2 linked regions of the Macaca fascicularis genome follow. The protein of the gene in region 1 interacts with the protein of each later gene in a pairwise test. Links are inferred from orthologs where the notes say so. Each region holds a gene or a part of one and is shown in the gene's direction. Other genes may lie near its edges.

What was found. The genes of interacting proteins can lie anywhere in the genome.
Region 2: the proteins of ERLIN1 (region 1) and AGR3 interact in binary tests that used the Homo sapiens proteins (3 or more experiments, as listed by UniProt). The two-hybrid records come from large-scale screens. The link is inferred for Macaca fascicularis from reciprocal best matches to the Homo sapiens genes ERLIN1 and AGR3.

Annotation. Positions count from the first base shown.
Region 1 is NC_088383.1:109,095,260-109,101,296, reverse strand, and holds the end of ERLIN1 (erlin-1), read left to right. Parts: intron 1-2,094; coding exon 2,095-2,316; 3' UTR 2,317-4,349; downstream 4,350-6,037. UniProt on the Homo sapiens protein: Component of the ERLIN1/ERLIN2 complex which mediates the endoplasmic reticulum-associated degradation (ERAD) of inositol 1,4,5-trisphosphate receptors (IP3Rs).
Region 2 is NC_088377.1:113,343,696-113,349,238, forward strand, and holds the end of AGR3 (anterior gradient protein 3), read left to right. Parts: intron 1-397; coding exon 398-450; intron 451-990; coding exon 991-1,067; intron 1,068-1,624; coding exon 1,625-1,688; intron 1,689-2,467; coding exon 2,468-2,551; intron 2,552-3,446; coding exon 3,447-3,496; 3' UTR 3,497-3,660; downstream 3,661-5,543. UniProt on the Homo sapiens protein: Required for calcium-mediated regulation of ciliary beat frequency and mucociliary clearance in the airway. Might be involved in the regulation of intracellular calcium in tracheal epithelial cells.

The DNA of each region.
Region 1 (6,037 bases):
ACACACATGCACGTATTTCCATATGCCCCTCATTGAGTACTTCTTGTTTATTGGATTTAAAAAACTATTCCAGTCATGAGGAATTTCATGTGGGATAACTTGAGAAGGGAGGTTGGGTGATCTGTAGGTGATAATTTGCTGTAAGGACTGGGGTAAGCTGGCTAGCGGGTAAGGGCTAGTGAGCAGGGGCTATATAAGAGGCAGCTAGAACTCTGCTAGTATTCTGAGAAGGTTATTGTGGAGCAGATTTGTAAGAGATAAAGGGTTGAGAAAGAGATTACTAAAGTGGATGATGCAGTTTGAAGGATTAGAGTCAAGTTTTAAGATATAGACAGGGCTTTCAATTTAGAAAGGAACAACATAATCTGTATTTAGAAGAAATGATAAGATATGATAGAATGAGAGTTGTCAGTACTTTGAAAACCAATATACATTTTAAAATGAACGTAACATTGAAAGACAATTCTACAGACACAGAATGGAATTTGACCAAGAGAAAGGCATGACAGGAAGCTCCAGTTGAGGAAGCTAGGAGTCCAAATCTAATGGGAGAAGCTCATCCGGCACAAGTTTCAAGATCTTGCCATTGAGGTCTACCTTATTCAGAAAGGGGCAGTAGTTTTATGCCATTTTGAAAAATGTGACTCATATACTAACCTATATTAAAAAGGCTTGAGGAAGAAATGTGGTTGTACACTATGACCAGATTTGATTTGAGTGTTTTGACAGAGGATACGAATCACCTGGGGAAGATAGAGATCCAGGGAGTGAAAGATGTCAAAGTGTAGAAAATAAATGCTGTAGGACTGTGAAGGACAACATGGACTTTTGCCTGGGGGACAGGCCAGGACTCAAGGAGAGGATCACAGAGCAGGATCTGAGGGGCTTTGAAAGGCATATGTTCCAGGGAACAGTGGAAATGGATTTTGATCAAACCCAGATAGATTCTGGTTACAGACATCTTGGCATCCTGATTTAGGCAAAAAAACAACAACAACAACAAAAAACAACTCTGTGACCGAGGGAGATCTGGTGGTCGACGAGTTTTAATCAAACCCAGATAGATTCTGGTTAGATAATCTTGGCATCCTGATTTAGACAAAACACTGTGACAGAGGGAGGTCTGGTGGTCAGTGAGTTTTAATCAAACCCAGGGAGATTCTGGTTAGATAGATACATCTTGGCACTGATGTAAACAAAACAAAACTCTGTGACAGAGGGAGATCTGGTGGTGGACAAATATCTGTCTGTCACAGACAGCTTAAACATCCAGCTTCTGGGGAAAGGCAAAAGACCAGATCAGATGACCTCTTGAGATTTTATTCTAGTTCTAGAATTTGTTCAAGAAAAGCAGCACCAGCCCTTCCTTTGAAGTTCTGCTCTCATCCATTGATCTGTGTATCTCTCTCAAGAGAATCAACAGAGAACCAGGCATGATGGCTTATTCCTGTAGCCTCCCTGGAGGCTAAGATGAGAGTATCGCTTGAGCCCAGAAGTTGGAGGCTGCAGCAGTGAGCTATAATTGAACCACTGCATTCCAGCCTGGGCAACAGAGTGAGATCTCATCTCCAAAAAAAAAGAGGCTGGGTGCAGCGGCTCCCATCTTTAATTCCGACACTTTGGGAGGCCAAGGTAGGAGGATTGCTTGAGGCCAGGAGTTTGAGACCAGCCTGGCAACATAGACCCCATCTCTACAAAAATAAAAATAAGTTTTTTAGAAAGACAATCAACAGAAACTCCAGACCAATTCCAGGTTGAATTCAACTAGATGAAATGAAAGTCACCATAGTTATTATTATTATTATTAGTTATTATCATTAGTTATCACAAATTGTTTTCTAACCTCCCCCATCCTTTTATTAAAAAGTGAACAGCTTCTCTTGCATTAAGTCAAGAGCTTATTGAAGGAATTTTAAGTCAGGAACGCAACTGTTAATGTGATAGCCACTCTCCAAAGTGAGAGAGGGTCATTGGCAATTATTCAGGCTTGACTCGTGATACTCAGAAGAGCAACAGGAGAAATGTATGTAGAGAGAGAGAAGACTGTTGCACCAGAGTATCCTGATGCCTTTGCTCTTGTTTGCTCCCACACAGCACAAATTGACCCCGGAATATCTGGAGCTCAAAAAGTACCAGGCCATTGCTTCCAACAGTAAGATCTATTTTGGCAGCAACATCCCTAACATGTTCGTGGACTCCTCATGTGCTTTGAAATATTCAGATATTAGGACTGGAAGAGAAAGCTCACTCCCCTCTAAGGAGGCTCTTGAACCCTCTGGAGAGAACCTCATCCAAAACAAAGAGAGCACAGGTTGATGCAAGAGGTGGAAATGTTCTCCATATCAAGATGTGGCCCAAGGGGTTAAGTGGGAACAATGGTTATACGGACTCTTCAGATTTACACGGAACTTACACTTCATCTGTTCTGCCTCTCCTGCGATAGTCCTGGGTAGTCCACTGATTGGAGGATGGAGCCAGCTGTCTGACACACAAATGGTCTTTTCAGCCACAGTCTTATCAAGTAACCTATATGTGTTCCTTTCTAAACTGCTACTCATGAGTGAGGAAAGTCTGATGCTAAGATACTGCCTGCACTGGAATGTTAAACACTAAATATATAACAAGCTGTGTTTTCCTAAGTGGAGATCAGTTGAATAATGTTTACATTGGTCCCCCAGGGAATTGTGTGCTCAGCCATTCAAGAGATGACTGAGAAGGATATGGTAAGTTCAAGAAGACTCATTGCACTTGGGACCTAGGCCCTTTCTTTGGGATCCAGTTCCAGCCTTCATCCATGTGATTAAGATCCAGGCCACTGAAGTTCCCCAGGAAACGATCTTCCACTTGAGCAACCTTTTACTTGATACGATTTGCACCTTTCTGTTTTCCTACAGGATGGTGGTGGCTTGCAGGGACCTGAGCTTTGCTACCCAACCAGAGATTCCTCATAGAGATTCCTAATCACTAGTTTCTTGTATTCATAAGCTCAGAGATACAGAGGGCTTGATTTGAAGTTTGGGGTGAGATGAAACCTTTGCTCTGAACCAAAGCTCTGGGGCCCTGCATTCCCTCCATTGGGTGATGACTGTCAGCATCACTGCCGCAGGCCATGCTTGACTAAGGTGCCTGGTTTTTAGCTACAGCCACCTCCTTGTGTGTTACCTTTCGGCTGTGACTGGCCACGAGTGGGACAGGGCTTTAACCACAAATAGGAGCAGCATACAATTCCTAGTGATTTGCTGCACAGTTGTGTATCATAATTGCAGGAAGTTTTTATTTTTAAAACTGGATCTGGGGTATATTCATTTGCCCCATCACCTCCGTCTAAAGGCCCAAGTCCGAGGGCTGCGATGGTCACAAGCACACTGATGCTCCTTAAGATTGTTTGTCTGGAGCCCACATAGTGTGGAACAAAAAGTCACCTGGAAAGCATCCTTGGTCATTGTCTCCTTCCCACCTGGCCCAGAGATGCTTAAATCCAAGTTGTTTCTCCAGCTCTCACCTCCCCCAGGAGATCAGGATTCCACTGACGTCCTGGGCAGCCAGTGAATTTAATTTTCCATGAGAAACAACAGAGTTAACCTGTGGCAATAGGAGACCTACTTCATGTGGACCTTTTTTTTTTCCTTCAGTTTTAACTTCTCTGGAGCAGTGTGCTGCGTAGTTTGGCCTGAGTTTGTGCAGCTTAAGACACCTCTTGTGTACACTATATTGAAGCTCCACAGAAAAGTCATGGGACCACTTCTAGAAACCTTTCAGCTGTCAGGCCTGTCAGTCTCATGACAGCTTGTTGGTTGTGCCAAACACTTTATTTGGGAAAGGAAAGCCCAGATTTGAGTGGGTCTTTCCCCTGGGCCTTATCCTATAGAGGCATTTGTAATATGGAGAAAATAATTTTTCATTTTTGCTCATTTAATTCTATAAATTCTCTTTATGAATGAATTTTGTGTTCTTTAGTTCTCCTTAAAAGAACTTTTGAATTATAAAAATAAATTCTTTACCTGTCAAATTGTTGCCTCAGATGATTGTCGTGGAAAATCTGGATCATTGACCTCTGTGCTTTCATTCCTAGAGATGTTTTATAGTTACATGAGCAAAGCTGTTGCCCCAAAGTGATGGCCCTGGAGGCAGGGCTGAGGAACAGGGAAATGCCGCTGTGAAGTCTTAAAGCACTTCTGCTTAAACTCCACATGTGAGGAGTGTGCCTCCCTGTGCCCTCAGCTCTGAGGCTGGCCATCTTTCAGGGTGTTCCTTTTGGCAAATATACCCTGTAATCTTGAGTCTAAATTTATATGTTGAAATGCTACCTTTTTTAAAATAAGAAACTAAATAAAATTATTTTACTATCAGTGATTTGTGTTTTTTTCCCCATGTCTTCATTTTTCTGTCATCTTAACATGCTCCTAAGGCTGTCTTGCACATTTGAACTAGGGAGCCAGTTTATTTGCTGGTTTAACTTAACTGTAGAGGCTTTTATTATACTCTTCCCAGAATACTGCCTACCTGCTGTCAGAATGTTTAAAACAAGGTGTCCGCTCTTTGCTGACTCCTGGAATTTAGCAAGGGATGTTCTTCTAATTCTTTGTGGGACAGGGCCTGCAACAGAGGGGCAAGGAGGGAGGATGGAACATCAGGCTACTGGGATCCGTCCCTGAGAGCAAAAATACTTCTACACCGAGCAGGGGAGGAGACAGACCAAGCCAGAGGAAGAACAATTTGTGTAAATTATAACTGGCAGTGTAATGGCACAATATAACCAACTTCACTATTAAGATGTTAGCGGCGCAAGAGCCAGAGTTGGACCTGCTCTTCCCAAACGTTCTATATTCCCTCCTGGGGTCAATTTCCTGGTGATCTTGGGCCAGCAGGGAGTGGTAATGGGAGTTTTGGGGAAAGCAGCTCTTTCCTCCTGTTCTTATGGGATCAACCCCATAGTATCCTATGTCAGTTGCTGTGGACCTGAAAATAATTCGAACTGACCATCCTATAGGCTATTGGTAGGTATTAAAATGAAGTGATTTCTGCCTCTTCTGTGGCAAAAGAATTTTGTGAATTGGAAACTGGCTTCTAATTGCTTTGGGATTAAGTCTCAAATGTGTGCACACGAAGTTCGTGATCTGACCCCTGCTGTCCTCTCCAGCCACCCTTCTCTAAGGTCCCTGAATGCACCTTCTCTCTGTCCCATCTCATACATTGTTCCATCTGCCTGGTTCACTTTCCTTCCCTCGTAATGCTGACTTTCCTTGGCCAACTCCTGAGTCTGCATCACTTCTTCAGATGTAAAAGCTTCAGTTCACTTTGAACTGCTTGGCCTGGGTTAGCATCCTGGATGCCCCCCCCCCCCCGCCCCCCACATGTTATGCGCACATAGTTACGCCCTCACAGAGATTAGCATTTGTGAAAACAGACATCAAGCACATAATGTCATGTCTCTCATTATGTGCTTGATGTCTGTTTTCACAAATGCTAATCTCTGTGAGGGCGGGGGCTGTGGCTGTGCTGTTCCCTTGGGATTGTTTCTGTTGCTAATGCCTAAGATGGCGTCTGGCCCATATGAGATGGCTTTGTTGCATGAAAGAACAAAAAGTTGAATATGACATGCAGGTAAATCAGGCAAGTGAGTCATGGAAAAAAGAACTTAGAAGTGAGCCTACAGTGTCCATGTCAGGACTTTAAGTGTAACCATGGGAAGTTACCTAACATCTCTGAACCTGTTTACTCATGTTTGCAGGGCAACTCTTCAGTGGGTTCAGGAGGATATGTTGATGCATCTAGCGTAAAGATTTGCACATGGTAATTGCTGGGATGCATTAGTTCACCTTGTCTACAGGAGTCAATATATGTGTCTGTCTCTGAGTAGCTGTAAGTTCCCATAGTGGAGAGAGCACAGTGCCTGCTATCTGCAATTGCATAATAGAGCACATTGATTAATGTCTTCAGCAGCTATGAGCTAAGCTAGCTGGATGTTAAACCCCAACCACAGCCCTCCAGGAGCATCCCAACAAGCTGGGCCAGCTTCTCATCTTTCTCCTGGTCT
Region 2 (5,543 bases), on another chromosome or scaffold:
TCTCGCTATGTCGCCCAGGCTGAAGTGCAGTGGTGCTATCTTGGCTCACTGCAACCTCACCTCCTGGGTTCAAGTGATTCTCATATCTCAGCCTCCAGAGCAGCTGGGACTATAGGCTCACGCCACCACGCCCAGCTAATTTTGGAATGGAGCCTTTGCTAATTTTGGAATGGAGCCTTTGAATTTAAGTTCCTAATAAGCTACCTAGTGATACTGATACTGTCAGTTCTGGGGCCACAAATAGAGTAACACTGCTATTGACTACAGTGCTATGATTTGTAAATCTGAGTTACTACTGTAAGTCTTATTGAAACTAATAAAACTTCAAATCTAACTCCACTGTATGTTTTGACTCAAAGTTAATCATTTGACTTAATTCCATACTTTCTTTGTTTAGTAAGAAGCCATTAATGGTTATTCATCACCTGGAAGATTGTCAATACTCCCAAGGTAATTTTAGTCCCTGAGCTCTTATTATAATACATAATATTTCCAATATAAAATAGGAAAAGTGACCTGGTAATAATAGCTAAGAAGGCACTCAGCAAATCTCATTAAAAAAAAAAATTAGACAACTGCCAGAGTACCATCATTTTATTAAAGTGCTTAAAGACCACAATGATTGTTACCAATCTACTGAATGTTTCTATTATATCCCCTTAGAAATTAGATATTCCTCTTCTTCCCATGAAAAGAGAGGGGTGAGCTGAGAGGGTGGAGAAACACTGAAAGAAAAAAGTTGTTGTCTTAACCAATGAGTCAATGAGTTATATAAAATTATAAAACTAGTGTCTTCACTGTGATTATCCTTTGATGTCTCCTTGAACAGACTGTCCCTCATTGCAAAGTGGCAATAGGCCAATGAACTATTAATATTTACACTTGAGTTATATATGCAAACAAATGCTAAATATTAGCTTTATTTTGCTATGCTACATTAAAGTTCTCTTGATCCTTAAAACTAACTGACAATTTTGTTTTCCCCTATAGCACTAAAACGAGTATTTTCCCAAAATGAAGAAATACAAGAAATGGCTCAGAATAAGTTCATCATGCTAAACCTTATGGTACATAAACTTTATGATGTTTTCTTAATATTATAATTTCATGGAAAATTTGAATCCCTTTTTTCTTTTTTTTTCTTTTTTTTTTTTTTTTTTTTTTTTTTTAGATGGAGTCTCGCTCTGTCGCCCAGGCTGGAGTGCAGTGGTGCGATCTGGGTTCACAGCAACTTCAGCCTCCCTGGTTCAAGTTATTCTCCTGTCTCAGCCTCCCGAGTAGCTGGGACTACAGGCACCTGCCACCATGCCCAGCTAATTTTTGTATTTTTAGGAAAGATGGGGTTTCACCTTGTTGGTTAGGCTGGTCTCAAACTCCTGACCTCAGGTGATCCACTCACCTCAGTCTCCCAAAATGCTGGGATTACAGGCATGAGCCACCGCACCCGGCCTCCTTTTTTTCTATTTTTAAAGCACAAAGAGCTAAATGTTGGTTAATAGAGGAAGTTATGTGGAATTATAAAAGGCCAAAATAGAATTTACTGACAGTCTAGTTCACACAAAATCATCTTGAAACTATCAAAAACAAATGAATCCAATAACATTGTTTTTTTTTCTTCTGCTAGCATGAAACCACTGATAAGAATTTATCACCTGATGGGCAATATGTGCCTAGAATCATGTTTGTAGGTATGTATGTGATCTCATTTCATCGGATCTACAAAATTAGTAGAAGTCAGCATTCTTGCTTTTATTTTTAAATGCTGGTTCAAGTACTATTCTTTTTAAAGAGAAGTCATTTCTAATCCAATCAATATCAGCTCTTGTCAGTTCTACAACCAAAATCCACTATCTCTGCAATTTGAAAATTTTAAATATTTTTTCAAAGCACGTATGCTATTAAATCTATATCCCAATGTACTTTCAATACACTGCCCCAGACTAGATTGACAGAGATCTATGACACACTAAAAGGAGAATTCAGGTTAATTCATCATGAACCGACATGTATGAAAACTAATTCTGCTTATAAATTTGCTTGACATTTGTTTTAGATTAAGAAATAAAAATGATTTTAAGAACATTTTATGGATGTAGCCAGAGGCCATTATCCTAAGCAAATTAACACAGAAACAGAAAACCAAATAGTGCATGTTCACACGTATAAATAGGAGCTAAATACTGGTTACACATGGACATAAAGAGGGGAACAATAGACAACAGGAACTCCAACACAAGGGAAGGAGGGATGGGGCCAAAGGGTGAAAAACTAACTGTTGGGTACTATGTTCAATATTTGGGTGTTGGGTTCAGTTGAAGCCCAAACTTCACCATCACACAATATATCTATGTAGCAAATTTGCACACATAACCCCCAAATATAAAATAATAATAATAAAATTTTCACAAGAGTGAAAAAAAAGAACATGCTAAATTATACTTTACTGACTCGGTTTTTTTCTTGACAGACCCTTCTTTAACAGTCAGAGCTGATATAGCTGGAAGATACTCTAACAGATTGTACACATATGAACCTCAGGATTTACCCCTATGTAAGTATTCACAAACGATCTGAAACAGTGGTCATAGCTGACCCCTGACTGTTAGTTAAGGGACAATGATGCCCTACATCAGTGCTTCTCCACAAACAGTGCTATCTACACACCAGAATCACTGAGGCTAGTGGTGGTGTTTAAAACGCCAACTTCTGGCTCCCACCAAAATCAGAATTTTGGGGGTAGCTCAGAATCTATTTTAACAGGGATGCCTAAGGGCTTTTATGATTACTAAATTCTGAGATCACTAAAAAGAATATAGTACACATTAAAACGACAGAAACTTGAGAGAGTCCATTCTCCTAGTATCAAAGATCTCATGTGATTTCCTCAAATGATAGTAAAATCATTTCATCTTTCTTTAATGCCTATAAGCAAGGAGGTACAGTCTTACTTAGGACTTTAATCCTCTCTTTTTTTTTTTTTTTTTTTTTTCGTAGAGACAGGGTCTTAGTCTATTTCCCAGGCTGTTCTCAAACTCCTGGCCTTAAGTGATCCTCCCACCTCAGCCTCCCAAAATGCTGGGATTAGAAGCATGACCTACCATGCCTGGCCAAATCTATTTTTTACAACATTCATTGTCAACCACATTTAGTAAGACAACTGTGCCTGTAAGATCTGGCAATACTAATACAAAATGATCCATTAAAAAATAAAAGAGGTATTCCTCAAAACCCCTCTAATGAAATTATTCAACATAAAGTTGACCAACCAGCTCTCAATGGTCTAATCCCTAAATTTACATGTACACTTTTAGCATATTCCTTAATGTCACAGATGAATTCCCAAGTTTTCAAAGCTATTGGGTCAATTTCAGGTTCTAGAGTTAATAGATCATAGCATTTATACTTTCATTTGTTAATAGCATAATATATATTAACTCTTATTTCAGTGATAGAAAACATGAAGAAAGCATTAAGACTTATTCAATCAGAGTTATAAGGGATGATGGAAAAATGCCTTCACTTCGAAGAAGTCAAATTGAATGAAGAAAACCTCTGGCACATTGACAAATATTAAATGTGCAAGTATATAGATTTTGTAATATTACTGTTTAGTTTTTTAATGTGTTTGCAATAGTCCTATTAAAATGAATGTTTTTTAAATCTGAGACTGACAATATAGTTTTATTTCTGCCTCATCAGTAGCAAAGAAAGCCTGCCAAGAGTAATAGTGGAGACAGGAGGACCTAAATAAGAGGTTCCTATAAGGTTTGTCTCTATTTCTTCACCTCTCCTTCACTCCATCAACTAATCTAACTTTATTTTTAATTTTCTAATTTTTTTTTTTTTTTTTGGTAGAGATGCAGTCTCACTATGTTGCCCAGGCTGGTCTCGAACTGGGCTCAAGCAATCCTCCAACCTTGGCCTGCCAGAGTGCTGAGATTATAGGCCTGAGCCACTGTTCCCGGTCCAACCACCAACTAATCTAATTTTAATTCTGTCTCCTCCACTGTACCATACCTGCCAACCCAGGTCATAAATGATCTCCATGTTACCAAAAAAAGTAGATAAATCTCTGCCCACTTGTGATTTTAAATTTTAGCTACATATTGCAGCATTAACCACTTACTTCTTTTCTTACTTTACACTAAGACAGACATTTAAAACCTAATTATATTTTTAAAATTCAACTACATTTATTTATTTATTTGAGACAAAGTTTTGCTCTGTTGCCCAGGCTCGAGTGCAGTGGTGCAGTCTTGGCTCACTGCAACCTCTGTGCCCCCGCCGCCACCCATCAAGTAATTCTCCTGCCTCAACCTCCCAAGTAGCTGGGATTACAGGTGTGTACCACCACACCTGGCTAATTTTTGTATTTCTAATAGAGACAGGGTTTCACCATGTTGCCAGGCTGGTCTGAAACTCCTGACCTCAGGTGATCCACCTGCCTCAGCCTCCCAAAGTGTTGGGGTTACAGGCCTGAGCCACTGCATCCAGCTACATGTTTTTCTTAATTAGTGGGTAGATACTTTAAAACTTCTAATAATTTTAAGAAAGTGTAACTACTTCAGGAAAATTGAAGAATTCTCCAATTAACTAGTAGGGAAGGATTATATTTATTCTGAAATGATCAAATATCCAATCATCAACTCAGTTCTCCACAGGAAGCCTCCAGAGAGTTAATACCATGTCTTCTATTTATTTAAATAACAACAAGAAGAAAAAAATTCTGCTAATAGAAATCCCAAAATCAGCTGGGAGTAATTATCAGAAGGTAGAAAATATTTTAGAGGCTGGGCATGGTGCCTCACACCTGTAATCCCAGAATTTTGGGAGGCTGAGATGGGAGGATCACCTGAGATCAGGAGTTTGAGACCAGCCTGGTCAACATGGTGAAACCCATCTCTACTAAAAATACAAAAATTAGCCTGGCATGGTGGTGAGCGCCTGTAATCCCAGCTACTCAGGAGGCTGAGGCAGGAGAATCGCTTGAACCTGGGAAGTGGAGGTTTTAGTGAGCCAAGATCGTTCCATTGCACTCCAACCTGGGCAACAAGAGTAAAACTCCATCTCAAAAAAAAAAAAAAAGATAAAAAGAAAGAAAATATTTTAGATGGGCAAAAATTTTCCTAACTCATAGGATTTTATTGCATTTAGCAAAATTTGAATTGCTTTATGATATAGAACTACACTTTTATATGAGATAGATATGCAATGTCTATGATATTATGTTATAGATCCCTGTAATTTCAAAATTTGATGAGTCTGAGAAAAAAAATGATTTTCTTTGGGTGTTATTTGATCACTATTCTGTTCATTTTAAGCAGGTTTGTAGTAAATTGATCTATTTGAATATAAATAGGTTATATGATTATCAGTACTAGATACCCATTATCCTATTTATTTACAAAAGAATATTAAATATCCTATTTTAATTTTTATATTACAGACTATTTTGGCTTTTTAGATAAAAGTCTAGAGTTTTTATCTTAATGGATGCTAAGAGATCAGAATGCACTGGCATTCTCTGATTTAATAGTTTAACA